4 linked regions of the Saccharomyces cerevisiae S288C genome follow. Changing the gene in region 4 together with the main gene of any one other region gives a genetic interaction. Each region holds a gene or a part of one and is shown on either strand. Other genes may lie near its edges.

What was found.
Region 1: mutations in AAD4 (region 4) and VBA1 together harm fitness more than expected from each alone (negative genetic interaction), as found in Saccharomyces cerevisiae (one large-scale study listed by BioGRID).
Region 2: mutations in AAD4 (region 4) and CBP2 together harm fitness more than expected from each alone (negative genetic interaction), as found in Saccharomyces cerevisiae (one large-scale study listed by BioGRID).
Region 3: mutations in AAD4 (region 4) and OPY1 together harm fitness more than expected from each alone (negative genetic interaction), as found in Saccharomyces cerevisiae (one large-scale study listed by BioGRID).

The regions. Positions count from the first base shown.
Region 1 is NC_001145.3:439,817-448,788, forward strand, and holds VBA1 (Vba1p), read right to left. Parts: upstream 5,287-8,972; coding exon 3,598-5,286; downstream 1-3,597. Other genes in the region: SEG1 (Seg1p), read left to right, coding at 1-2,274; PDL32 (putative ADP-ribose 1''-phosphate phosphatase), read left to right, coding at 2,711-3,565; m-AAA protease subunit YTA12, read right to left, coding at 5,793-8,270. UniProt on the Saccharomyces cerevisiae protein: Transporter required for vacuolar uptake of at least histidine and lysine.
Region 2 is NC_001140.6:20,137-29,567, reverse strand, and holds CBP2 (Cbp2p), read left to right. Parts: upstream 1-4,058; coding exon 4,059-5,951; downstream 5,952-9,431. Other genes in the region: putative ATP-binding cassette multidrug transporter VMR1, read left to right, coding at 1-1,590; MUP3 (Mup3p), read right to left, coding at 1,687-3,327; YHL037C (uncharacterized protein), read left to right, coding at 3,389-3,790; EFM1 (protein-lysine N-methyltransferase), read right to left, coding at 6,028-7,785; ARN1 (siderophore transporter), read left to right, coding at 8,597-9,431. UniProt on the Saccharomyces cerevisiae protein: Appears to be specifically required for the splicing of the terminal intron (bI5) of the cytochrome b pre-mRNA. Can also stimulates the splicing of the omega intron of the precursor of large ribosomal RNA.
Region 3 is NC_001134.8:493,853-496,932, forward strand, and holds OPY1 (Opy1p), read right to left. Parts: upstream 1,488-3,080; coding exon 501-1,487; downstream 1-500. Other genes in the region: ATG14 (Atg14p), read right to left, coding at 1-263; SHE3 (She3p), read right to left, coding at 1,740-3,017. UniProt on the Saccharomyces cerevisiae protein: Binds phosphatidylinositol 4,5-bisphosphate (PtdIns(4,5)P2/PIP2) at the cell membrane. Negatively regulates the activity of phosphatidylinositol 4-phosphate 5-kinase MSS4.
Region 4 is NC_001136.10:17,077-25,385, forward strand, and holds AAD4 (putative aryl-alcohol dehydrogenase), read right to left. Parts: upstream 1,491-8,309; coding exon 501-1,490; downstream 1-500. Other genes in the region: THI13 (4-amino-5-hydroxymethyl-2-methylpyrimidine phosphate synthase), read left to right, coding at 1-150; YDL242W (uncharacterized protein), read left to right, coding at 1,883-2,236; YDL241W (uncharacterized protein), read left to right, coding at 3,559-3,930; GTPase-activating protein LRG1, read left to right, coding at 5,747-8,309.

The sequences.
Region 1 (8,972 bases), on a different chromosome or scaffold from region 4:
AGCAATGCCAATACTTCTAAATTGCTAAGGCGTTCCAACTCTGCCCACAGTGCCTTGAATGCAAGAAATGGTTCACTTTTAAGAAAAAAAGTATCGCAGGAATCTTTACATTCTCAACCAAAGAAGACTTCGTCTTTAGGGAATACATCAAGTACACAAGCAAAAAAAGGCCAAAAGGCGGTTCAGGAGAGAAATCTTGCCAAGAAACATCCAATAAATTCAAATGTTCCTCTCATTGAAACACAAGTTCGTGAAGAAACAGACCAAGAGTTGAAACTTGATAATTCTAACTCTTCCGAATCCGAAACAGTAGTCAATAGCGAAAATAATCTAGAAAAACCTTCTTCACTAAACATTGAAAAAGATGATCTAAGCAAACTAATACATGAAAACATTGAGTTAGAAAGTTTTATTGAAGAAAAAGGGAAGGAAAAACCTTTAAATTCTGATCAAGAAGATGTTTTCATAAGCGAAAAAACTGTAAAAGGCGATGTACAATGGCCAAAAAATAACCGTCAAGCATCTACTCTTGAGAAAACTTTTAATTACGACAACGAAGAGAAGAGGGAGGGGAATAAACCAGTAGCAGAACATCCTCTTCCGGAGGCCGAAGTGGATGACAAGTCGGTTGAACAACTGAACAACATTTCTTCTAGCGGCAGTTATTCGGCCCAAGGATCAGTTGAAAACTCCAAACCAGAAAATGGCAATAAAAATCTAGAGAATGACACAACATCGTCTCCCACACAAGACCTTGATGAAAAATCCCGCTCAATAGAAGAGAAGGATACCTTGGAAGGGACCGAGAGTTCAAAAAAAGTTGAAAAGCCAGACAATTGTTGTGAGAAAATTTCTGGTGCTAATACTTCTTCCAAAAAAGGGAATGTTGGCGATACTAAGGATGAATTCTTCGATACAGTAGAAGAAAGCGATCAGAAAACGAGCAAGTCGAATTCCTCCAAGAACACCGATCATTCTAATCAAACAGAACCAACGCCTTCTTTGGCTCAGTATTTAAGGACCTCAAATACCTACCTTTCTCGAAAAAACCAATCGAAACAAGCTGAGCAAGAAAAGTTTCACAAGCCTGAAGCTCCTATGGTTCCTGTAACGAAAGTAGTTACACCAATCAAATCTGCTCTTAAAAAATCGTCAGGATCGTCCAACCATGACTCATCCATGTACTCTGATAACTCTCCCGCCAATGGCGCATACCTGTCTCTTACGACTGCTGAAAATACGAGATTAAATGCTCAAATGACGATGTCCGACAGCGTATCACGCAGAGCAAGTTTAAAACGATCTTCTATAAAAAGACCTCAGTCAGTAGGCCAGTTCAGAAGCATCAGATCAAATTCGCCTTCTCCCCCAGAGAAAATAAACAATAAACGCCATTCTGCTATACCCCTAGGAACCCCAGAGAAGGGTAAACCAAAAAGAAATTCGGTTATGGCTTCTCTGTCTAAAAATTCGCAGCAAATTCAAGAGCCCGCAAGTGTATATGAGTCAAATGGCCCAAATAAACCTAAAAACCAAATCAATAAGAATATAAAGAGAGGATCACAGATCGCGCAAAACAATAAACCTTCAACGAAGGACATGAATAGTATTTTGTACCCCAAAGAACCACCTCCTCGCAAATCTAGTTTTGAGAAGACGAGAAGCAATGAATCCCATCTCGGATTTAAAAAGCTTTCTTTGAGAAATGGTAATTTTGAGGAGGCATTGAGTGAAAGCTATAATGGGCAAGCTAGCCAGAATAGCACAAATGTGAATCGAACCGATACAGCACAGGAGTTTTTCAAATATTTGGGTCATTCATCAAGATTTGCGGATTCAGACTCAGAAGATGAGTCCCAATTTTTCAACCAAGGCCCATCAAAATACAACACAGAAACAGAAGGCAATAAAACCAGCGGTAACAAAAATAGTAATGGTGGTAACGGTGCTTTTTCGCTTTTCAAGAGCAAAAGTAAGCAAAAGGAAAATAATGTGGTTTCCCCTGGAGTCTCAAGTCCTAATCATACTACCACCGATCCTGCCATTACAAGTAAAAAGGTGGACAAGAAATTCAGCGGGTTATCTTTAAGAGCTGCCAGTGAAGCTGAACCTGCAAAAAATTCAAACCCTTCGATGACCAATAGGTTACGCTTCTCTAGTAATCCAGAGAACGGCGAAAGCAGGCTCCCACAAGCACAGGAAGTCAGCGTTACAAAAGAAAAGAAGGGTAGTTTCGGCAAAAAACTGAAAAAAATCTTTGGTAGAAAGAAATAGGGACTCTCGGCAGAAATTCTCTCCTTGTACAAGTTATGTATTTTATTCTTTTTCGTGCTCGTTCAACTTCTGAACGATGGCTTCCATGCACTGTAACATATAAAGGATTTTTTAATAATGAATAATCAAGAAATCTCCATTTTATATGCTTTTTTTTTTTTGCCGTTTCCACTGCAATCAATGGCGATATAATCGGATGAACAATAAATATTCGTGTTCCTATTCGTGTTCCTATACGTGTTCCTAGCAGCAAACAATAACAGAAGAGAAGCATTTGATTTTCGTAAAAACTTCAGGTGTGGGTGTTTCTTATTAACGGTTAAACTTTACGAATTGAATCCCCTATGTATAATGGTCCATAATACATCTTAAACCACCAAGCCATCTTCGTAATTTTGAACTGGGAAAATTGGGAAAACTGCAGACATTCATAATCATGACAGGATCTTTAAACAGACACTCACTTTTGAACGGGGTAAAAAAAATGAGAATAATATTATGCGATACAAACGAAGTAGTTACCAATCTCTGGCAGGAATCTATACCCCATGCATATATTCAAAATGATAAGTATCTTTGTATTCATCATGGGCACCTTCAATCTCTTATGGATTCAATGCGTAAAGGTGATGCAATCCATCATGGCCACTCTTACGCAATTGTTTCACCTGGTAACTCGTATGGCTATCTTGGAGGAGGGTTCGATAAAGCTTTGTATAATTATTTCGGGGGAAAGCCCTTTGAAACATGGTTCAGGAATCAGCTTGGAGGAAGATATCACACGGTCGGATCTGCTACAGTGGTTGACCTACAGCGATGTCTTGAAGAGAAAACAATTGAATGTAGAGATGGTATTAGGTATATTATTCATGTTCCGACCGTTGTAGCCCCATCAGCTCCTATATTTAATCCGCAGAATCCCCTCAAGACAGGGTTTGAACCGGTTTTCAACGCCATGTGGAATGCCTTGATGCATTCTCCAAAAGACATTGATGGTCTTATTATTCCTGGATTATGTACTGGGTATGCAGGTGTACCACCCATTATCAGTTGCAAGAGTATGGCCTTTGCGTTAAGACTATATATGGCGGGAGATCACATAAGCAAAGAATTGAAAAATGTGCTGATCATGTATTATTTGCAATATCCGTTTGAACCTTTTTTCCCGGAAAGTTGCAAAATAGAGTGCCAAAAACTAGGAATAGATATCGAAATGCTGAAATCCTTTAATGTAGAAAAAGATGCAATAGAATTGCTCATTCCTAGAAGGATTTTGACCTTGGATTTATAAAGGTATATAATATAAAGTCTATTTTCAATTTTTCAAGAACTTGAACTACGTTTGTAAGTATGTTTCACCAGATATAACGATAAAACAATTCCCACTGCTGCCAGGGCTATATTTGGAATATAGGAAATCAGGAATGCCTTTTTGTAGACATCAAGAATGCGAACAAATATATCCGTTGGAAAATTGGGCCCTCTCAAGTAACTCGAATCATTGATAAGGGAGTAGTACTGCTTTTTGGTGAAGTGATATTCGTCATCACGCTTGGTTTTGAACATATAATTCCATAACATGGACGACAGGCTATTCTCATAGGACACTAAAGTTAAAGAGGCACCAAGAACGTTACCAATGGATCTCCACAAATAGAAAACACCAGTCATGGTTCCTTGCTGTGATTTTTCGACGGTGAATACGATGCTTACTAACGTGGCCACTAATAGACAAGCGTAACCAAAGGACACAAGGACTGATGCAAACACATATATCAATTTCCACCATATTGAGTTAGATCTGAATGTAATAGACTCAAGCATATCATATATGGTGTAGTCAGGATTCAAGTGTGAAAGTAGGAAATAGCCCAATCCCAAACCCAATAGCTGCATTATCATACCACCAAAAATGATTTGATATGCACAGTGTGCTAGGTTAATTTTCGTATTCCGCAATACCCATCCTGTTACCAATGATCCGACTGCAACTGATATAGAGGGGAAAATCAAAAAGAGGCCAGTCTTTGTTACACTAATATTTTGAAGCAATTGTAAATAGATTGGTGACCTAAAGATTTCACCAAATACAACAAATGAAGATATAACCGTTACCGCTGAGCTCAAACAGAATGAGCGAGTCAATAGTTCGAATGGTAAAATTTTCTCAGTCGCGTAATAACGTTCAACCAGGATAAAAACAATAAAGCTACCAATGGTAAACAATGCTAAATACAACTTGTTCAACTGGCTAGAGCACAAAAATAAAACTCCACTAATGGTCGCCACCAGGCTTAATGAGCCAAATATATCTATCCGTGACAGATTCTTTAAGGTATATCTTTCTTTCATAGGAGGAACATGGAATAGCTTAATATTAATGTTTTTGATTGCTAATACCGAGCACAACATTATCACGGGTACTTGGATACCAAAAAGAGCCCTCCATCCAATGGTTTCTATAAATACACCACCCAACGGAGCACCTAGTAATTGACCAAACCCGAAAACAATATTCGCATATCCCTGGTAAACGCCCCTTTCTCTTGCTGTACATATGTCACTAACAGCAATGCTACTAATAGCATTCAATCCTCCTGCACCAATACCACATATGGCTCTTGCTATTGAGAATTCCGTGACGTTTCTGGCAAAACATGTTAATAAGCACCCAAGGCCAAAAAAAAATTGAGCGGTTAATAATGCTGACTTCCGCCCTGTTATATCAGAAAGCTTCCCATATAGTGGTTGGAAAGCCGTATTTGTCAAAAGAAAACTCGTCGCAATCCATTGCTTTTTACTTGATTCAGAGAATTCCTCAGCAACTCTATTCATTATATTTGCGACAATAGTGCTATCCAAGGAACTCAAAAAACTACCCAACCATAGCGAAAACAAAATGGGAAACTTAGGTAAGGCCAAATTATATTCATGAAATTTTTGTTCCAAGGGAGGGGCTTCAGCTTCCTCAGGTGGAGGGAGTAGATTTGAAGTCTCGTCTAGTGTTTGCATTCTTCTTGTTCCCTCAACAACTAGGGCTCTGAGCTTAGTGAAGAACAAAGAGGAGACAAAAAACAAAATAATTCGATAGAAAAAAATCGCTGCTGTATTCTTATATTTTGGGAATGTGGGTTGGCCTAAAGTGGAACCGCATGCTCTTCTCTATCACCGGCCCTTAAGATGACCTACGTTTATTGTCGGACAGATATCATCCAACAAAACGACGCAGTGAAAAAGTGTATCATGCGAATACTGAAGATAAGATAGGCTAAGCCGTGGAATCAGCGATAAAAAAAAGATCGCGTGTATTAACCAATGACAGCCTCACAGAAGCGCTTTGATCATATATAGATATAGGTGCATTTATACACGTATATATATTTACATGTTTTCAGATTAGATTATATGGTAAATACGTGACAGTGTTCTACCGAAAAAGAAAGATGTCTGGCTTTCAATAAAATAAGCAAGATATGTAGAACAGTCTTCCTCCATTTCTTTGTATTGTGAAATATCAATCAGTTTGTAGATGGCTTAGGCTCATTACGTTTTTCGTTTTTTTCTTCTTCCTTCCTGATTTTTTCCGTTTCGTAATCGTTCAAGTACTTATCAAAAGCATCATTCCTTTCTGGGAAAGGGCGCTTACCAAGTAAATCAATCATATCTTCTCTTGTCAAAACTTCTTTTTTCAGTAGTACTTGAGCAATCTTCTCTACATCTTCTGCTTTTTCTTTAAGCAGCTTTGTACATCTGTCATGGCATTCTTGGACGATTCTGTATACTTCGGAATCAATAATGTCACCTGTCTCGTCCGAAAATGGTTTTGTCAAATCGCTATCATCTCTCTTCTGGTAATTGACCCAGCCAATTTTATCACTCATGCCTAATTCTGTGACCATTGCCGTGGCCATGCTAGTAACTTTTTTGAAGTCATCAGATGCGCCACTTGTAACTGATGGGAAATGTAATTCTTCAGAAACTCTTCCACCCAGAGACATGGTCATTCTGTCCTTAAGTTGCTGTTCAGTTAGTAAGAAGATATCACCTGGCAAATACTGTGCATAACCAAGGGCGCCCTGGCCACGTGGAATAATACTGACTTTCAGAAGAGGATCTGCGTATTTTAAGTACCATCCACATACAGCATGACCAGCCTCGTGGTAAGCCACTACTTTCTTCTCTTCGGGAGAGAGTAGCTTGGATTTGCGTTCCACTCCACCGATGACTCTTTCGATAGCTTGTTCAAAATGATTCAATTTTACTGCATCTTCATCACTTCTAGCAGCAATCAAGGCGGCCTCGTTACAAACGTTGGCAATATCAGCACCAGAAAAGCCTGGCGTCAAAGCCGCTAATCTATTTTTCAAATCAAAAATTTCCCCGGCAAGTTTCAAATGATGTAAATGAACAGCAAAAATGGCTTTTCTACCCTCAAGTTCGGGCTTGTCGATATTGATATGCCTGTCAAATCTACCAGGCCTTAATAATGCTTTATCGAGAATATCGGGTCTATTGGTACCAGCTAAAACAACAACGTGGTCAGCTGGAGTGAAACCATCCATTTCTACTAACATTTGATTTAGCGTGTTCTCTCTCTCATCATTGGCACCTGAAAAATTACCCTTTTGTCTTGCTTTTCCTATAGCATCAATTTCGTCAATAAACACAATTGAGGGTGCATTTTCTCTTGCAGTTTTGAACAAATCTCTTACTCTTGCTGCACCAACACCAACAAACATTTCTACAAATTCTGAACCAGAAACAAAATAAAACGGAACACCGGCTTCACCTGCTGTTGCCTTTGCAAGCAAAGTTTTACCGGTACCTGGTGGACCAGATAGAATCGCACCTCTAGGAATTTTAGCTCCCATTTTTTCATAACGAGAAGGTTCTTTCAAGAAGCTAACAAACTCCATAATTTCTTCCTTAGCCTCATCGCATCCGGCAACGTCCTTGAACTTGATCTTAACGTCTGTTTCAGTGTTAAATTTTTTAGCCTTAGAACGACTCAGACCAAATATGCCTCCACGGCTACCGCCCGCTGCTTGTGCCGATCTTCTTGTCAACCAAATAATACCTGCAATCATTAAAACAGTTGGCAAAATTTGGAACATAGCTTTAGCCCAATTGCCTTCTTGAACATATAGTACAGGTATTCTGAAATCCTTATCAATGTCCAGTTCGTCCTGTGCTTTCTGAAGTTTGTGTTCGAAGCTATCAATTGAACCAATTGTGAAATAATAGAAGTTGCGACCGTAATTGTCGGCTTGGTTTTTTCCGTTGTCATTTAACATCACTTTCACCATGGACTTGTTGACAACAATCAACTTCGCAACATAACCTTTTGCCAATAGTTTCTCTCTAAAATCCTGCCACGTTATCTCACTTTGCTCTTCCAAACTGTTGAGGAGATCCAATAAAAACGAAAGGAGGAAAAAAGTTAGTCCTATCTGGAATAAGTTAACATTTTTCGATACAGGATTACTAGGATCATTTAGAGGTGGTTTTGGGGGAGGAGGTGGTGGTGGCGGTGGAATATTTCTGCTATTGTTACCTTCAAAGTAGCCCTGCTCTTTTGTTCTGTTTGACTTGGCTTTTGAAGGACCATTTTCCTCCTCTTTTTCCTTTCTTTCTTCTTGAATTCTGTTAGATTCTTGTTTCAATACAGCATCTTCTAAACGCCTAATACTTTCATCAATTTTGCGTTTCTGTTCTTTCCAGTTAGCCGGTATAGTATTATTTTTAGTTTGTTCGATATATTTTTCTACTTGTTTTCTTATTGCTTCAACCTCTTCGTCTGTGGGAATTTCTTTGTTAAGTTTAGCGTCTTCGTTATTGTCCTCGTTCTTGTTACCGCTCTTATTCTCTTGCAGCCTATTGAGTAGCCGATATTGAGTATGTAAACTCTTGATATGGGTCAAGCCGTAATAGGACCGGAAGCGAACGGGCCTTCTAACTACCTTAGTAGCAATTCTTGACCAAGAAAGTAGCAACATTAGTACTCTTTCTAACTTTAAAGTTGCTTGCCAAGACTCTTGAGTGTGCTATATTGTATTCGTTGGCAGCTCAAAATCTTTCCTTTAAAACTATAGTGGCAAAAGTTAGAGATCGTTTTCACGAGAAAATGATGGGGAAAAATGGACCAAAAGACAAATGTATTCACAATGTGACACCAGATAGCTTGGTGATTAGTATATAGATCTTACAGGACACCGAATAATACCAGAAGGGACTTTCTTATTGAACGAACCGATATGTGCATGCGTTATCCTATAAAGAAATACGTCCGGATGGGATATTCAAACAAGACGCCGGACAAAATAATTCACACATATGGAGGATGTTACGTACATGAGCACAAGACGAACCGTACAAAGAGAAACATACATCATCACTCAGACGATAAGATCATAAATTAGCAGATGACACTTTAGTTTATTCTCTTTGGTAGGTTTTCTACAATCAGAATTATCTAACGGCGAACTTCTGTAGGCAGAGTTTTCGCATCGCCCAATGAGATAATGCACTTTCAAAAGACCACGCTGCACTTGCATCAAATTGGTTTACGAAAGAGCAAAGTCGAGGATTAGCACATTCCGTGTGCCCATACGTTACCATTTTTGACAAAGTTGGCAACATCAAGCGAGACATATCTACAAATATACGTATCAGAATTGTACCCGAAGTATTTCTGGTTA
Region 2 (9,431 bases), on a different chromosome or scaffold from region 4:
TTTTTATCCGGTATGCGAGCCTCCAGAAAGATCTTTAATAATCTGCTAGATCTAGTTCTACATGCCCAAATACGATTTTTCGACGTGACGCCGGTTGGTAGAATCATGAATCGCTTTTCAAAGGACATCGAAGGTGTTGATCAAGAATTGATTCCATACTTAGAAGTAACTATATTTTGCCTAATTCAATGCGCATCAATTATATTTCTCATTACCGTAATAACTCCTCGCTTTTTGACAGTCGCCGTTATCGTTTTTGTTTTATATTTCTTTGTGGGGAAATGGTACTTAACGGCAAGTAGAGAATTGAAAAGGTTAGATTCAATAACCAAATCACCCATTTTTCAACATTTCTCAGAGACCTTGGTAGGCGTTTGCACAATTCGTGCATTTGGCGACGAGAGGAGATTCATTTTAGAAAATATGAACAAAATTGACCAAAATAACAGAGCATTCTTTTATTTATCAGTTACTGTCAAATGGTTTTCTTTTAGAGTCGACATGATTGGCGCATTCATTGTTTTAGCATCAGGTTCTTTTATTCTGCTCAATATTGCAAATATTGACTCGGGTCTTGCCGGCATTTCTTTGACATATGCCATTTTGTTTACAGATGGTGCTTTATGGTTAGTTAGACTGTACTCAACATTTGAAATGAACATGAACTCTGTTGAAAGACTAAAAGAATATTCTAGCATTGAACAAGAGAACTATCTTGGCCATGATGAAGGCCGCATTCTACTTCTAAACGAACCATCGTGGCCAAAAGATGGAGAAATTGAAATTGAAAACTTATCTTTACGTTACGCGCCAAATTTGCCTCCTGTCATAAGAAATGTTAGTTTCAAAGTGGATCCTCAAAGTAAGATTGGGATTGTCGGAAGAACTGGCGCAGGCAAATCTACCATAATAACGGCATTATTCAGATTACTAGAACCAATAACCGGATGTATCAAAATAGATGGGCAGGATATAAGTAAAATTGATCTCGTTACATTACGTCGTTCCATTACTATCATCCCTCAGGACCCTATTCTATTTGCAGGTACAATCAAAAGTAATGTTGATCCATATGATGAATATGATGAAAAAAAAATATTCAAAGCACTTTCACAAGTAAATCTAATTTCTTCACATGAATTTGAAGAAGTGCTTAACTCGGAGGAACGCTTTAACAGCACTCATAATAAATTTTTAAATCTTCACACAGAAATAGCTGAGGGCGGCTTAAATCTGTCCCAAGGTGAAAGGCAATTGCTTTTTATTGCACGATCATTGTTACGCGAGCCAAAGATAATACTTTTGGACGAGGCTACTTCCTCTATTGATTACGATTCTGACCATTTAATTCAGGGTATTATAAGAAGTGAGTTTAATAAAAGCACAATTCTTACTATTGCACATCGTTTGAGATCTGTTATCGATTACGACAGGATAATTGTGATGGATGCCGGTGAGGTAAAAGAATATGATCGCCCTAGTGAACTGTTGAAAGATGAACGCGGTATATTTTATAGTATGTGTCGTGACAGTGGGGGCCTAGAGCTTTTGAAGCAAATAGCCAAGCAATCAAGTAAGATGATGAAATAATCGAATGTTTCTTTCTTTTATTCAAAGATGAGGATGAATATTATTTATTAAAAATGCAATAGTAGTCTATAAAATATTTATGTAGAAAAGGAAAAACTAACACAGACATGGCTTTTTCACCCATTCTGTGACAATGAGCCCATCATGCAAATAAGTGATTTTGGGTAAAAGTTTATAATGGAAGAATTTAGGTAGTAAAACGAATTTAACTAACCAGAAAAAGAAGCATGCAACTATTACCAGTAATGACATGATTTGGTAGGGCGGCAGGAACCCAACTCTGTTTAGGCTAGGGTCGGCAAAGAATGGTGCCATCAACATGTATAATGATAATGTAATAATGGCTAATACTCCAAAAGTAGATGCACGAATCTCTGGGACTTCGTTCTTGTGTTTGAACCTCCAAATAAAGAGCCCAATAGCGACCAATAATAAGAAAAACTGATTACCATAACCATCCATCGATACCAGATAATTGAAGGATTCGCCCTCTTTGGGTAAAATCAATATCCAAGCAATGGTTATAAAGCCACATAAAGAAATAGATGGTAGAGGTGCATCAAATGGCCAATTTTTGGACATATGAATACTGAATGGTAAATAACCTTCTTTGAATATTTCCTGGTTAACTCTTGATATACTGTAAATGACAACCAGAATATTAGATGCTGCAGAAATGGCGATAGAAAAAGCAATGAATTTGCCACCAACTCTGGGTCCGAAAAGTTTGGTAAACAACACGGAACCAACCAGGGGGCCTGCACTAACAATTTCCTCATATGTCAAAACTTTCAAGTATGCCACATTCATCATTGTGTAGCAGACAAAACAAATTATCAACGATAAGGGACCTGACACCTTCAACGTCTTAACGGGATTCTTAATTTCTGATGTAACTGTGTGAACTGTATCCCATCCAGAAAAACAAAAGAATGAGCTGATAAAGGCAGTAGCAATAGAGGACACCGACAGGAGAGAATCTTTCTCAACTTGGGTTACTGGGAGGTCCCAGGCAACTTGACCGGTGCTTTTATAAAAGAAAAGCGTGTATAGCCCGGCAAAGCACATCAAGACAATCATGATCAACTTCAAACCACCAAGTGCGTTCTGTATAAACACTCCGTGCCTTACAGAGACACCGTGAATGAGAACGGCAAATATTATAAATGATATGCTGACGTACTTGGACCACGAATCATCCGTGACTCCAAATGCGCTCAACACGTATTTACCGAAGACGATAGATCCCGTCAATGCATAGCCAGTTAAAACACTGTAACACGAAAACACCACACTAATTAATAGTCTGGGTCTTTCAAAACTCCGTTCGAGGAAGTTTTTACGTCCACCTGATTTCGGTATCCAGGAACCAAATTCTAGAAAAAGATACAATCCTGCAAAAGCGATCGCAGCGCTAAAAACCCAGATCGCAAAATATATCAGCTTATTACCACCTGTATTCAGTAAAATCACACTGGGTACTGCAAATATACCTGACCCCATTATCCTCGAAACAAATAACACAACCGTGGAGAACACACCTAAATGTCTTCCCTGTGGAACTTCCATGAATCTTGCCGTCTCTGCCTTTATCGCCTGCGCTTCCACAGTATCCATCGAACTGAATGATCCAGTATTTGTGGAACCATATTTTGTGGTAATATCACCAACTTCCACATCTATGAAAACATCTTGAGAGGGATTTGCTTTCCCACTATTAAAAAGCAGCGGTTCCATTTTTACTTATTTTGAGCACTGTACGTCTACGTTGCCCTCAGCAACTTAGACTACAAACAGAATGTACAGATCATCGATAAGCATCCAGGTCTTTATATGTGTATTGTTTTTGCCCCTTGACTCAGGCAGGCCTCTAATCTATATGATTGATTTGTCATATATATGCAGCGACGCCACAGTTTTTTCCGGCAAGAGTCGCGTGATCTTTTTTTCTAATCCAATCTGTGAACATACTAGAGGAAACTTCTACCTTTTCTACCTGAATTACATTATCAACACTTTTGCACCAAAAAATCGTGGTACTAGGAGATGCAAACCTTTTGGTCTCCACATCAATTGCAGGAAAAAGATTGACTGTTTGCATGTGCAATTATCTTATATATTATGTAAAAATAAAAGTAGGAAACGCCACATGGATGCGCATGCCATAACCCTTGCATGGTTAGCACACGCCCTCACGTGAGTGAATTTGCCAAAATGATAGTCAAATGTGTTGATAGTTCGATAAGAGGTGAAGTTGGGGAACTAAAGGTGGAATAGAAAATGATAAAACAAAGGAAAGAGTGAAGATTGCCGCCGAGTAGAATCCAAGATTGGTGTGTATGGGTGTATTTAGTGAAAGTTCAATTGCATTGAAGATGACAAATTATGCTTAAGTGAATGGACAATGAAGGCTTCTCTTGAAGGAGTAAGGCTGCGCTGAAGGAAAGGTTTGAGACAGAGTGACCAAAATGGTGAATTGGCAAACATTGTTCATGGTCTCATTGAGGAGACAGGGCAGTTCCTCTCGTTACAGGTATAAGTTCAACATGGAGAATATCACACATCAGGTGTTCCCTCGCTGTAAGCAAGCGTTTAAGAAGACAAACTTATCTTATGAATATTGTGATCTTGAAGGAGTACTGTATAATATTTCACTCACGGACTTGCAAAAACTGCTATTACGTGATATAAACGCCCCTCGCGAACACGCATTCAAGATTGTTAGAACAGATCTAACTCAAAAATCCTCGAAGAAGAGGATCCAACACTGGGAACGGATTGCGCCTATGTTTGACCACCCCTTAAGTCTCTACGAGAAGTTGTTCAGCGAAATGGATGAGGACTTCAAGCCATCTTTCGAGTGGCAACAATTAATAAGGGTACGATGCAAAGATGATAAGTTGAAACTGCAGCGTGTAATTTGGCCTAAGTCGATATTTTCAAACTTTTGTCGGGGAATCGGGGTTAAGAAGAGCACTTACGATAGACTCTTGGAACAAAATAATGGTGAGGTACCCATGTTTGTAAACCCAGCTAATGCAAAGCCCTTGCCTCTTTTCCAGGTTTCCGATGAGGCGATGATTGGGGAATTCGATGGAATTGGTATTTTCCCTTACTTTGTAGATAAACATAGAGAATTTTTCGTTACTGAGGTAGACAAATTGAAGACCAAGATAGCTTCGCCACTTTGCACCTTGAATGAACGAAAGCGCATTGAGAAGGCTAACGCTGGTCGGATACTGGCGAACGAAGAGGGTAAACCATTCTATCTGGATGCAAACAGTGCCACAACTCGAATCGCTGGTGGTAATGTCGTCACTTTGAAGCAACTTTTAGAAAGATCGGTTAGCCATAAGACATTGTGGAGCAAACAATCAAACAAAGACAGAACGTGCCCTGGAGACATTTTAAGAGCTACAATATTATCAAACGACTTCTCCATCCGGCAATTGAGGGCTGAATTTTGCAAAAATTTCATTCTCTACAATATATTCACCATTTTACAACGTAACAAGAAAAGCATCCGTTCCTTCTCTGGTAACGATAATGCGCCTTCCTTTCAATTTAGTTGGAATGTTTGGGACTCATATATATGGAAGCAATATCAAGAGACCGAGTCCATGAAAATACCCACGGACCAAGCTTCTCTGATCAACTACAAGACAAAATACGACTCTTTTCTTCATGACCTACAAACATATTCCGCACTGGTAATTTCAGAAATGAAATGGAACCAATTCTCTATTTTCCAAAATGATGAAACGACTTTATCAAGATTTGAACACATCACATTAATTTTGCAAACCGTGCTGACAAAATCGAAAATGATTAGAATTTTCCAGCCAAACTTGTACAAGTTTATGCAAGATGATTTAAGACCAACTTTAATGGAGTTGGTGGGTTTCACTGAGTCAATAAATGCAACAATAGAACCTGGTTTTGCGAATGAACAATCGCTACAATCTGCAAACGGATTAAAGAAATTGGCCAACCAACTTTTATACTTCGAACAGGAAATATATGGCGAAAAGTTCCGCGTAAATAGGCCCATCCAGCTTCGTCCAATAACATTATCAGCAAACTACAAAATTGTTATTCTGGATAAGAAGAACGCCATACCCGAAATATTTCAAACCCTACTGAAATTCATGACACAAATAACGACATATTTTGTTAAAGATTTGTCGGAGGTAGAACTTCATGGGCACATGCATTGTATTGATAAAAAAATGCTGGACAAGTCGAAATTCATGTATTTATACGAAGAGAAAAGCAACGAGGAAGTGAAAGCAGCTTCTCCTCAAAAGGAGAAGATAGTAGATAATATCATTGGCCTATTATCAAATGATGAAGAACATTAACATGAATTGGAAAAAGAAAAAATTGCATGTAAATATATACATACGTAGAATTTTATACTTAGGCTACAGATCAAAGCTAAATCTGTAAGTCGTATGCCTTCTTCATTAGAAATATAGGCTCTTTATTTGATTTCCTGATCCAAACCAATCTATCAATCGCAGTATCTGCCACAATGAACTGTCTTATGCCCCAATCACCGACACTATAAATTTCTGGAATTCTCTCCGATAAATTAGGGAAGTATTTTTTATAGAACGGCAAAAACTCCATAACATCTTCTTTTTCAATGACAATTGAATCACTAACTTCTTTGAAGGTTTGTTTAATGAAACCTCCCTGATTATTACTTTTATCGTTGATTAATTTGACTATCCAGAGCAACAATGCGTCATTAAGACAGTCTTTTGTGATCAAATCTTCGTAATTTATAGCACCAAATACCAGTAAGAGAGAATTGGCAAATATTTTGTCGTTTTTAAAAATTGTCTTGAATGACAGAGAAAACTCCTTATTATTGCTATATATTTTTTTTTGTAAAACGGACAATTTCTCAGTAGTGGCGTTCAGAATTTTTTTGTTATCTTGATAGTATAGTTTGATTAGTTTAATAACATGAGGGCGTAATTTTTGAGTCGAAGAAGTTTTAATTTTAAAATTCTTATAAAACAGCAATCTCTGGGATACTACAGATGTTAATTGATCAATACCTTCCAATACGCTCCTTACGGTTGGAGTTTCTTCAGACTTTAATTTACTTAGGTAGGCAAATAACGCTAGTAGAACCGGTGGTAATGGTTCAGAAATTTTTAAACTAAATTGTAAAATGGTAGTTTCTCCATCGTCAGTAACAAAATTACCTGATTTGTTAAAATCCACGGGCAAACCGCTAACTAAGGTGGATGGTAGCTTTAAAGTCAACCTAGAGAAGTCAAACTTATTCGAGGAATCCCAAAACCCGTAGTTTAACAAACATTTTTCATTAGAAATATTACCATAATTATTAAACAATTCATCCTGTGCACTAAATGTGGTAGTCTGCGACATGAAACAAAGTTCATTTTGTTCATTCATCTCCCATCTTACTGGTACATCGTTTTTATGGTTTAATAAATCTACTATTGGATACAAAAATCCTTCGTTCAGATTGGTGCGGTCTGTACCGGCCCTGCCTAAAATGACACGAGGAAATGCCCTAGAATTAAAGATGCAGTACGACCAAAGATACGCCACGAACGAGTTCCATTCCGAATCTTCTAGTTTACATCCATTGATGTGTGCGCAGAACTGTTCCAACGGCACTACGGCAGAGTCTTTATTCTCCTGGAATAAAGACAAGAACTGCTTATCTTGAGAAGAGTGTTCAATAGATAAAGCTTGGAACAGCATCCTCCACTCCTTTACTAGTTTGTTCAGCGTATCTCTCATAGTTAAGTACACGTCTGTACCATGCAAATTCATGACTTCATCAGTAGACCAAAAATATGGTTGTGGAAGGTGCAAGGGTAGCACATCTAAATATGGTTTGTAAAAGGATTTCAGGTGAACTGCATCGGTGCCAAATTTCAACTTTGACAAGTACAACTGTGTCACGGAATTCAAAAGACTCCTTTCATTAGCAGCCTGGGAAAATTCTGATAAAGCTTGCTGGGAAGTGATCAGCAGAGTTTCGGGTACCCTAATCAAAGCTTGGTCGGGTTTGGGAGAGAATTTTTCGTTTACAAATGCACTAACACCAGCATCCTCTGTAATCCTAAAAGAGATTTTCGGATCGATGAAGGCTCCATTATTTTGAGCCCATTGTAAGCAGTTATCTAGCTCAGTTTGGGTGATCATGCAGAAGTTCGTTAATTAAATGACGAGGTAGCTTCACCAAGCTTGATTCCTTAGTCTTTTTTACTTCCATCATTTCTTCTTTGTTGGAATGGTCAAGTTCAAGTTGAAAAATTTTCTTTTTCATAGTCAACTCATCGCAGGCACATTCGCCTTGAACGAACAACGAGCAGGACTCCAATAGAATAATAGTAATAGATTACAGGCCTATACAATCAAGACAACTATCAAGGTGGGGAGGGTTTCCACCTGTAACTTCCGCTGACTAATGATACATATTATCTGATCGGAAGCCAATGAAAGATCCCCTAAATATCACGCATGTAAGCGACCGCGATGAAGCGTACTGGCAGCTCTATCACGAAGCGATGGAAAAATACACCTGCGAATGAAAATCCATCAACAGAAATGAGAAGACAATTGTATATTATCATTAACGTTCATCTTTAGGACTTGTTCTCTTACGAAATTTGTGTGCCTGTATTTGTTAGAAAGCCACATATGTCTTGGCCTTTTTCACTTCTTTCCTGTTTGGGATTGCAAATTTATCAAAATGCACCCATAAAAGCAGGTGTGATATAACAAGCACATATCGTTAGGAAAATAGTGTCAAAGAGAAAAAAAGGCCAAGCAAATCGGAGTACAGTTTACATGAAGTAATGCAAGATGCATAGAACTGAAGATTTCAGGAATAATTGTATATAGGGGAGGAAACATTCGATAGCTCTCTTTTTGCTTTCGTTCACTATATCTCTTGTTTTCTTTCTTAAAAATATATGGACAGTAGTTCAAGCCACTGCATAGCAACGTACTAATGGAGTCTGTTCACTCTCGCGATCCTGTTAAGGAGGAAAAGAAACATGTCTTCATGGGAATGGAACACGAGTTGAATCCTGAGACTCATAACGATTCCAACTCCGACTCATATGGTCTCCCTCAGTTATCTGAAAAATACAATGCCTTGAGACAGAACAGGAGCCTAATTATCCAGCAGACTGAAATCATTGGCTCTGCTTACAATAAATGGTACTTACAAGCGATTTTACTTTTGAGTGCTTTCATATGTGGCTACGGTTATGGACTGGACGGTAACATCCGTTATATTTACACTGGTTACGCCACATCATCCTATAGTGAGCATTCTCTGCTGTCTACAATCAACGTCATTAATGCTGTGGTCAGTGCCGCTTCGCAAATCATATACGCTAGGTTGTCTGATGTGTTTGGTAGACTATACCTTTTCATTAGTGCTGTCATCCTATATGTTGTGGGTACAATTATTCAATCACAAGCTTATGATGTTCAAAGATACGCTGCAGGTGCCATTTTCTACAATGCTGGCTATGTGGGTGTAATCCTTATTCTTTTGATTATCCTATCCGATTTTTCATCTTTAAAGTGGAGACTGCTGTATCAATTTGTCCCGACTTGGCCTTTTATCATCAACACATGGATTGCTGGTAATATCACTTCCAGAGCCAATCCTGTTGTCAACTGGTCTTGGGATGTAGGTATGTGGGCTTTCATCTTTCCCCTATCATGTGTTCCAATCGTTTTGTGTATGTTGCACATGCAATGGAGGGCCAGAAAGACTCCTGAATGGCACGCTTTGAAGGGCCAGAAGTCCTATTATCAAGAACATGGTTTTA
Region 3 (3,080 bases), on a different chromosome or scaffold from region 4:
TTATTCTTTTTCATTCGTAAAACATCTAACTTCATGAGACTATTCATCAGGGGATCTTTCTTTTTCTCCATCCTCTTGATATCTAACTGGTCATAGTTCATGGCCTCGTTTAATATTTGTTCGACTTTCCCGTTAAGTTCTTTATTCTCATCCTTTAATAAAATTAAATCTAGTTTTAGCTTCAGTAGCAGACTTGGGCTCGTATTGATACAATGTGCACAGTACACTACATGCGCTCTATGGTGGCAAATTGGGCAATGCATGTCATACTAGGATTCTAGTTTTTAACTTTTACTTCCCTTTTTCTCTACTCGTTATCCTTCTAATCACTTTTGTATTTGGTCCTTTCCCTTAATTTTCAGCGAGGAAAAAAGTGCTTATTATCATTAAAATACAAATAAATAAATAGTTTTTTAACTAGACGTAAGGAAAACAATTACACGTATTATTTAATAGTACAAAGAAAAAAAAAGTCAATACATATTCATCATTGGCATTGCTTATATATTTTCGGCCTTTAATTTTTTTCTTATCAAAATTCCACTCTTGAAATTTATTATCCAATCCACCATATCTTGATCGTTAGCGGCTTTAAAAGATAACCTTTCATCAAATGTAATTAGCGCAAAATTAGTGTCGTCATTTTTCATCTTCGAATTATTATCAAGTTCAATACAATCGATAATTTTATCCAATTTAATGCTTTTCTTTAACTTCCCAGTCTTGAAAGAGTATAAATTGAACGAAGTATTAGTCAATTCCACATTGAACTTTTGCCATTTAGCCCTATTGAACAGTTTCTTCTTTTTCACTTTTGTGTAAAGAATCCCAGAACAAACCTGGTGCTCTGCATTTCTTGGATCGAACATCCTATAAAATTCTTTATCTTCACGAGACAGTTGCTCATCCATCGTCAAACTGCAAGAATGCTTGCTGCTAGAAGGACCCGCCTTTTCGTCAACTACAATTAAATCATCATCATCCTCTTCTTCATCATAATCACTACCTGTAGTGACACTTTCGTTGCCACTAGGACTAGAGAGGAATTTTTCAAGGGCAATTTTCCAATTATGCATCAGTTCCATACCAACCTTCTCATTTTGCCCTCGTGGAAATTTGAATATTAAATCCTTGGATGGAGTATAAACAGTTAATATACCATCGAGCTCGCTTATCTTAAAATTAAGTATGTCAAATCTCGGTATGACACTTATAGCCTCTCTTTCATCCCGAGTTTTGTAATAGGCAAATTGGTTTTTCCTCAAGACACACCAATATTGATGGTCTGTTGTCCGAGGCCACCATAAATGACGATGGTGATGATGGTGATGATGGTAACCCTGCGGTGCACCATCAGCAGCTCCATTGTTACCTGAACTGGATTGAGCTGTCGGCGTTTTATTTTGAGACGTTGATGGCTTCTTGATGAGATTCGATGCGATCAAAATTTCATGCTGACTTGACGGAGCAGTCGCACCTGCTATCATTGGTCTTATGAAATTTACCAAGGCAAAATTAGCGTAATTATTTATGGTTAATTCACCTACTGGCTACTATTGCGTACCACATTTTGGCCTGTTCGTTTAATTTCAGCCACATTATAGTAGAGAAAAAACCGTTGTGAGTGACCGAAAGTGAAAAATATGGATTCGTGTCTATAAAACCTTAGAGGCATCTATTTACTTTTGTTCTATTATCTAAATGAATCCTATATATATACTCCCTTGTGTCGGCATATTCTAGGATTGGGCCCCGTGAACAACCATACTATTTCCCTTTTTCTTATGAGTGGAGGAAACAGTTCTTGTAACACCGGGAGGCACTGAGATTGTGGGAGATGTACTTGGATCGTTATTATGCGTTACATTTGTTTTACTACTGCTCGAGCTTGGTTTTCTTACTGAGGCAGTTCTTTTAACACCAGGCAAAACCGGGGATGCAGATTTTGGAATAGAACCCGATGACAGCAAAGGCGACGCAGTATAGAAACTTCTTCTTTTATTGTTACTGCTATTACCATTGGAGGATGAATCGTTTGTGTTCGGCGTCTTTCTTAATTTGACCATCTTAATAGGAAGCATATCCTGTGCATTATTGCTACTCAAAGCGTCAGCGTTGTTGCTTTCCACCTGGGTTTGTACATTCTTCTTCAAGGTTTGTACTACCGCGCCTTTATTACTAATCTTCTCATCGTTTCTTTTCAAGACGTCTTTCAAATCCATCTTTTCAGCAAAAGTTGATATCAGATTTTCGTTCGTCTGGTACAGATTTAGCCAGCTTTGTAGATTTAACTCATCTAAAGAGTGAGTGATTATCTTGCTTAATTTTGAATCCTTTTCTGTTTCCAGAGATTTCAAATCTTTCACAGAGTCATTGAATTTATTTAAATTCAATTCTATATCTGAATTTGAACTAGTATCTGAACCATAATTTAAATTTTGATTACTTAACTCTAACTCCAACAAACCGATTTTTTCATTTAATTTGGAAATTTCATCAGAATAGTGGTCTCTGTAAAGATTTTGTGACTCCAATAATGAATTATAGTTAACTTCCATATTTTGCAATTTTTCAGAGCAAGATTGTTCAATGGCACTAGAATTTTTCGCCAATTTACTCAATTGATCCATTTTCTCCTTTTGTTCATTGTAACGGTTACTCAATTCGCTATAATCTTTCTCTAGCTCTTTTAGCTTCTTGTTCTTTCTTTCAAATATCGAGTTGAGATTTTCGTTCTCGTTCTTCAGCAGATTTAAATTTTCCAGTAGTTTTGATTCTTTGGATTGTGCTAATTCCAATTTACTCAATAAATTTTGAGATTGCGTAGTCAATTGTAGATTTGTTTTTGTCAGCATATCAATCTGGTCATGCAGTGATTCAATGACTCTCGAAGATGAGGCATTTTGGCTGGAGGTATTTCTATCTTTTGTGGGGGAACTTTCCAAGTTTGCCATAAAAATATTATGGTGAGGTGCCAACTTGCTTGAAGAAGTCTGGGTATTATCCTGGTCCGACATCTTACACAAAAGTAGTGTCGTTGAACCTTGGCGTGCTTGATAGACGAGCTAACGTTTGGTAAC
Region 4 (8,309 bases):
GACTATGTCTCGAACTACACTAATGAATACCTGTCCTGGCCAGAACCAGAAGAGGTTTCTGATCCTTTGGAAGCCCAAAGATTGATGGCTATTCATCAAGAAAAATGCAGACAGGAAGGTACTTTCAAGAGATTGGCTCTTCCAGCTTAAACGCACTTCGTCACTCCTCGAGCGTAGCCTTCCTCTACGACTTGTTTATGATTTCCCATTAGGTTTTTTTTCCTCCCTGATATTTAGATATTTACTATTAAGATATTATTTATGAGCCTTTTATTACAGCTTCTTTTCCCTTGTAATTATCGTACTTGCCTCCAAGTATCGAAAGTCTTGTGTTGCCTCGATTTACCACTTCAAATGCTGTAACCTGCACAATTTACGCCTGAATTAGGTGAGGGATAAAGACTGTTTTTAGGTGCGGCTTATTCAAAAGTATAAAAGTAGATAGCGTGGAATATATAAGGACATATTTCTTACACAAACGCACCAAAAAAGAAATCTGATTAATCGAAGGAAATCTGCGCAGACATTGCCGTGAGAAGTGAAGCCTTCTTGGTAACAGCCGGATCATCACCGATAAAATTAGTAGGAAAACCAACATCAAAAGGAATAATACTTTCTAAGTATTCTATCTGTTCTGGTGTCAGTTTGATACTTAAAGCCTCAATGTTCTGTTTGAGGTGTTCAATTTTCCTTCCACCAACCAATGGGAAAACATTTTTCGCCTTAGAGCGAACATAGGCAATAGCAATAGCAGTAACAGACTCAGTGCCATGTTCCTCAGCAACCTTGGCCAATGCTTCACTGATCTTAACCTCTTTATCCGTCTGTTTAGAAGTACCCGAAACAGTACGCAGACCCTCTCCATTCTTCTTCCGTTCCTCCATTGCTTTTTTACTCTGAAATCTTCCACCTCCCATAACATCCCATGGGGCTAGAGCCATACCAAAATGTCTGGCCATTGGAATGATATCGCGCTCAAAGTCCCTGTTCAACACATTCCATTTACCTTGATAGATACTAAAAGGAGTTTTCCCATGAGATGTGGCGTAGTAGTTTGCCGCAGAAACAACCCAAGCAGGTGTATCAGACACACCCAAATAGAGGACTTTGCCCTGCTGAACTAAAATATGCAAACTATCCATAACTTCTTCGATTGAACTCATATAATCCCACCAGTGAACGTAAAGTATATCAATCCAATCAGTTTGCAATTTGCGGAGAGAATCCCTCACACTCACATGTAAACTATGCTTGTGATTACCACAATAGTTGGCACTTTTACCGCCACCTACTTCATACTTCTTATAATCTCCGGTAAACTTGGTGGCAATTACAATTTGGTCACGCAACTTTCTTGATTTCATCCATTCACCTATCCAAATCTCTGACTCTTCATTTTGGTAACTGTTTGCAGTATCAATGCAATTACCTCCTGCTTCATAAAAAGCATCAAGAAGTTCAAAAGCCTGTTCCTTATTCATAGAGCCCATAAAGCCTGACCATGCATCGCCGATTGAAGCTCCTCCCAGAATTAGCGGTGAAACTCTTATGCCGGCAGTTTTAGAAAGAACCCTGAGACGTCCCAACTCGGTAGGTGGTTCAGGTAGAGGTTTAAATAATTCACTAATATTATTGAATAATATTTTGTAGCTATAGGAAGTGTATTCTAGTGAAATACAAAGCCGCTCAGTCAATTCGTCAGCTGGCCGATGAAAGGAAGAACTGCAACTGTCCTTGATCTGGAAATATTGTCATGACTTTTATATGGTTCAAAAATCTGCCCCCAATTTGTTCGAGGATATTTAGTGCAACTTAGTTGGGTCTTGGAACGAGGTCTGCTTACTAATTTTATGTTGACGGTTGAAAGCGGATTTTAAAACGTATGAATTTAGAAGAGAGCCAATCAAATAGGGGTACGCTTAATATTAAAAAAATATTAGTAATTGTTTGTATGACGAATAAAATTTGTAAGCACCTGATCCAATCCTTATTATTGAGCAAGAGACGTCTTGTTTCTGTACTCTTTGATAACTATCAAGGCGACATGAAACTAAGGTCATCTCCATCTGCCATTCCTCTAGTTCCGTCAACGAAAATTCTTCAAGCTATGGAGGCCCGGAACGACATTGTTGACAGTCTGATCATCAATAGTCACGCAACGGAAAGTGATCGCCGGACTTTAGGAGACCATGAGGTTAGACAATGTGAGGATACCAACTTCGGCTTCAAAATTTGATACAGGTTAATTTTGAAGGCAACATTTAGGTTCGGCCTTATTTAAAAAAACCTTCAGGTACGCGTTCAAGATCCCATTTTAAAGGTATAGGCAGATTGCACTATTTTACCGGCAAATGTGCGAATATCGAAACTGGAAGATGTTTTCAAGAAAATTGATTTAAGATCCATTTGTCGTGTTTAGAGTTCTCATTGTTCTGGTCAATGATTTCAAACTCAAAAGGCACAAGAAACTTACAAAATTTGTTTCTTATGAACATTACGCCATGTTCTTTGCGAGCATGTGCTATACAGTCTTGCTAGAAAATGGCCCTATAATTAGAAAGCTCAAAAAATAACCCAATGCTGCATCGATTTTTGGAGAAAGGGGGTCAATCATCATCTATCTTCATAAATAACGAGTTGCAGAAAAATTGGAAACTGGTTGATTTTGAAAAGTTTTCATTTTTCTGGCAACAAATTATAGCTACAAAAAAAGAAGTTATGGCGCATAAGATGCATCAATATATGGTGTGACCAGATTGGACGTAACTAGTACTCATGTTATTATTCATATCCTTCATTTTTCCTTCTTTTCTTCTCCTTCTCGAACAGTAACTTCAGATTGAAAGACGTGAGGATGCTTTAGAATGCACATTAAAATTAATATACTACTGGCCTCTTGTGTTTGTCATTGGCTTCTATTTTCAATAAAACATCCAGACAACCCTGCTGTTAATTTTGGAAAAAAAATTTCGCCGATTCTAATCATGTGACTCCTTTTCCCCAGGCAATACCGGAGAAAGCGTTCTATCTCAAACTATATAATTTGCGCTGCTCGTCTCCAAGCCCATGCTAGTGTTTACTTTCGGTTGTAAAAGGTAACTAGAAGTTTTAACGCAAGCATTGTATTATATTTTCCCACAATTGCTCTTAAGGACCTTTTTTTTTCTTGCGTGATCCTGCACTATTGAAAAGTCTTTATCAAAAATAGATGAAACTTTTTCAGGGTTCAACATTTAGAGGCTTTTCTCATATTCTTTACTCAGTTGCCTGCGAAGACCCTTCTGCCCGCTGCGCATTTTCTTAGAAAATCAAAAAAATTGCCTTTTCATCTTTTACCTTCCGAGTTGAATATGTTGACTATTTGCAAACAGGCGTATGATTGTCGTATATAACAGGGCACTTTCGGCAGTGAATCAATAGGAGGCGTATAAGAAAAGCCAATTAGTACCTATATATATATATATATATATATATATATATATATATTCCTTTATTATAATTCCTATCAGCGATTTTTGCATCACACCCAAGAAAAATCTATAATAGAGACACAAAAAAATGAACGTAACTGAAAATGCTCTATTGTTTAAGTGCGGTAGCAAGGGCTATATTAATCAAACCTATACGCCGACAGAAATTTATAATTGTGGGGTAGCTGAAGGAAAGAAAACTGCTAAAGAAAAGAACCCAACTTATTCAATTTTTTATGATACATTTCTCACTGGGCAGCCTGCTGAAAGTCCTGAAACGTTTACGTGTGGTTCGCATGGCTTCACAAATGCGAGTTATGTGGCAAGCGACTTTTATGCATGTGGTTTTCTGCAAGGGAAAGGTACAGAAACCAATGCGGGAATACATAATACAAGGCCTTCTCATTCTCTCGCCAAATTTACCATACTGTTCATGCTAGTGTTGTATACAATTGTCTAATTCTCAAGGTATGACACTTTGGATTGGTGGTCGCAGTAGCCACCATATAATTTTTTATCGTTTCTACATATAATACGAGACAGTCAGACAGAACTTTGGGTCGCCTGAGAAGAAAGACTATAAAAATGTAACCCGTCAGTAGGACTCATCTTAAAACAGTGGGTAATTTACTAAGGAGGCTGGAAAAACTGCGATAATCGGCTTATAGTACATATATATAGAATAATCATTAATCGAGCCTTTACCGCGAAATTCATGGATTTCTCAAAAACAAAGGTGCAATTACATGTTAAGCACCGAATTTCTATGCGAAACAGGTCCGTCTCATCAGTCATAGCTTTCCAAGTATATAAAACTTGAACGCAAAAGTGCGTCATCGACGCCTTTTTTTGCGCAAGGATTGTTACTATTCATTTAATGAACTCTGATGTCTTAATAAGCCAATGGTATCCATAAGTGAAGGTGAAGTCTACTGTGTTACATTAGCAAGTCAGAACTCCTATACGATACAGTATACTGCATTATGGGCACTAAAATAATTTAGATTATAGAAAATATCGATACTATGCTTCCACTTCTCACGAAGCGGCCATGTTTTAAATGAAGTACGTTAACGCTAACACAAGGCTTGACAACTTTCATGAGCGTCAAATAGTCTACGTGTGGGCTCACTTTTTCAGATTTCTTCTTGGCTTTTGTGAGATGTATAATTAACAATAATCATAAAATCGCTACATAAAACAAAGCATAAAAAATTACAGATTTCCTGTTCAAAAATCAAATCGGTCCAGTTCAGCTATTGTTCTGCCGTTGTTCATGCTCAGAAAATTGGACCATGGTGTCATCTAACTTTAGTTGGTCCCATTAAGCTCTCTTCTGTATATCATGTTTGCCATATTGTCATATCATCTGCTTAGTATTAAACCGTTGTGGAAAACAAGAAAATTGCGAATTACTAGTATAGAAAATGCATTCTAAGTCGCCTGTGATTCCAATAGCAAAGAAATTGATCTTAATGGAAGTAGGAAATAGCTGTGGCAAAGAGACAGGATACTAAGATTGGTTTAAGGCGAGGTCATACTTAGCTATTTCCTTCACCAACATTGGTTTTCGAACAGTCAAGAGATGAAAACGCAAAAAAGTGCACTATAAAGTAAATACTCAAACGTTCCCAAAACAAAACGAGAAGAAGCGATAGGCACCTCAAAACTGAAATTATGGGCAAACAATATAACCCGTAAAAGATCACTTTACGACCAGAACATAATCAACATGGGTGGCCCCCATGTTGTACTCAGTTAGCTTTTTGAGCTAGCAAATATATCAAGAAGCCCGCATGTGCTACTTACGTTTGAATTACTTCTCGTTGTAACGCACTTTTCTACAACGTACCTCACTAGTAAATATAACTTAATGCTTGCAGGTTAGCCCATCGCTACAACACCTCCCCACAAAGTATTTACTTCAAGAAATCGATCTTGGCGAGTATATCCTTATCTTTATGTAAGTATCTTTTTCGTCTTCAAAGTATGCCGGGTATTGATGGGCACGGAAGATGTAAACAAAATGGAAAACAAATAAGAACAGAATCTGAAACGTCATTTGAGAATTTAAAATATGTAAATCATTCCTCTCGAGCCAACCAAGGCTGTTCTTGCTAGAAACCAGCAATTGGGCTTCTCATTCAAAACAGTATCCGTCTTTGCCTTAACATTGTTATTTGGCCTTTATCCCAGATATACGCAACCGTATTTATTCAAATCCAAAGAAAAAAAGAGCAGACAAATTATCAAACAACAAGTACCGGAGGTGAGCAATGATTCAAAATTCTGCTGGTTATCGATCGCTGAATACTGCATCTCCGATGACCGTGCAGGTGAAGAATCAGAAGAAAATATGCGCCCGTTGTAACAAGTTAGTTATACCCGATAGCCAACGAACTAAAACAACTTTAAAGGCTCTCGGTAAATATTATCATGAAAGTTGTTTTACCTGCCAAGACTGTCAGAAACCTTTAAAACCGAAGTACTTCCCATATCAAGTAGACAAGACAAGTGAATCTATATTGTTATGCCAATACGATTATTTTAGAAGACATAATTTGTTATGTCATGTATGTGATACCCCATTGCGTGGATTATATTATACCGCATTCGGTTACAGATACGACGAAGAGCATTTTTCTTGTACAATATGTGCTACTCCTTGTGGGGTTAAAAAATGCTTCATGTACGGAAACCAATTGTATTGCAAGTACCACTTTCTCAAGTATTTTTCGAAACGTTGCAAAGGGTGCGAGTTCCCAATATCGGATCAATATATCGAGTTTCCTAAAGGTGAAGAAATACATTGTTGGCATCCGGAATGTTATGGAATTCATAAATATTGGCATGTAAATTTAGCAGCAGAAACTGTTGGTTTGCAGTACCTTCCCAAGCTGGAATATAACCCAAATTCCGGAGACAAAGATATAAACCCAACTGCCTACGAGTTAGATAAACAAATGCAGGCGTTTAACTTTATTCTATCTAAAACGTGGTCGGTTTTATATCGTTTTGAGGAAGAGGCAGCTTCTTGCATTTCTGATATGTTTCAATATTTGACAAGCAATGATCAGTTAAAGGGCATAGAGTCTACGGGTCTGTTGGTACTAAAAATCGACTGTCTTTTCCGGGGACTGGATACTTTAAACCTCTCGACGAACAAAAGTATGCCAGTTAACAGTGATCAAGAATGCATTGAAAACAACGCAATGGCGGCCAGTAAATACAGCAAGTTTCCCAAAAATCTGTCCACAAAAATTATGATATATTTACAACTCTTAAGAAAGTTAGGGACAGAAAACAAAAACGAAACTATCACAATTTCATCTTTTATGTCTGTTATTACTGGATTAGCCCATTTTCTAAAACTGTTAACAAGATTTGGGCTATATACGGCTCTAGAAAACAATAAGTTGACTCATTCTGTTAATCCATTGTTGAGGTTTTTAAGAGAAGTAGAGAAAAATGAGCTTTTTGAAAATAACCCGTTTCAGTATATAAAGACTCCTGTTAACGCCACAGATAGTTGCGCTGGATGCAATAAATACATACAGGAGGAATGCATTCAATTTTATGAGCACCGGTGGCATATTGCTTGTTTTACTTGTTCTTCATGCCATAAGAATATAAATCCGAGGAGTTTGACGGATCCCACCTTTAATAAAGAGAAAAAAAAGATACTATGTTCTCACTGCTCAATTGATGATCCGGCCTCTGTGCCGGGTTTCAAATTTGTTACTAAGCTAGCACAACTAATTTTTCTTCTAAAAATTGCCCTAGTCAAATCAAGAACTGTAATGTTGAAATCGAAAGCATCTAACAAGGTAGGCAGAAACTCTTTACAGAGTACTATGCTAAAGGAACAAACTTACATTAGGACACTGAATGATATTAAAAGATTGAGATCTAGAAGAGAAAGTGTTCGGGTCACTCATAACAAACAACAAGCTAGAAAATCAGTGATACTGGAAACTGCAGAGACAGATTTAAATGACCCGACAAAACAAGGAGATAGTAAAAATCTTGTGATTCAAACAGATGACCCATCATCGAGCCAACAAGTGAGCACACGTGAAAATGTTTTCAGTAATACTAAGACGTTGACACTAGATGATATTTCACGTATTGTTGCCGCTGAACAAGCAAGGGAGCTAAGACCTAACGCTTTTGCACACTTTAAAAAACTAAAAGAAACCGATGACGAAACTTCGAATGTTGTTCCCAAGAAAAGCGGAGTTTATTACTCTGAATTAAGTACGATGGAACTCTCGATGATAAGGGCTATCAGTTTGTCACTGCTAGCTGGTAAACAACTGATATCGAAGACTGATCCTAACTATACTAGCTTAGTCTCAATGGTCTTCTCGAATGAAAAGCAAGTCACAGGTAGCTTTTGGAACAGAATGAAAATCATGATGAGCATGGAGCCTAAAAAGCCCATCACTAAGACTGTTTTTGGTGCTCCTTTAGATGTGTTGTGCGAGAAATGGGGTGTTGATTCCGATTTAGGTGTGGGGCCAGTGAAGATTAGGATCCCCATAATTATTGACGAGCTAATATCATCTTTGAGGCAAATGGATATGTCAGTAGAAGGTATTTTCAGGAAAAATGGAAATATCAGAAGACTGAGAGAACTAACTGCTAACATCGACAGTAATCCAACAGAAGCTCCAGACTTCTCGAAAGAAAATGCAATCCAATTATCTGCTCTTTTGAAGAAATTTATCAGAGAGCTTCCCCAACCGATTTTATCGACAGACTTATATGAACTATGGATTAAGGCCGCGAAAATTGATTTAGAGGATGAGAAACAGCGTGTTATATTGCTAATATATT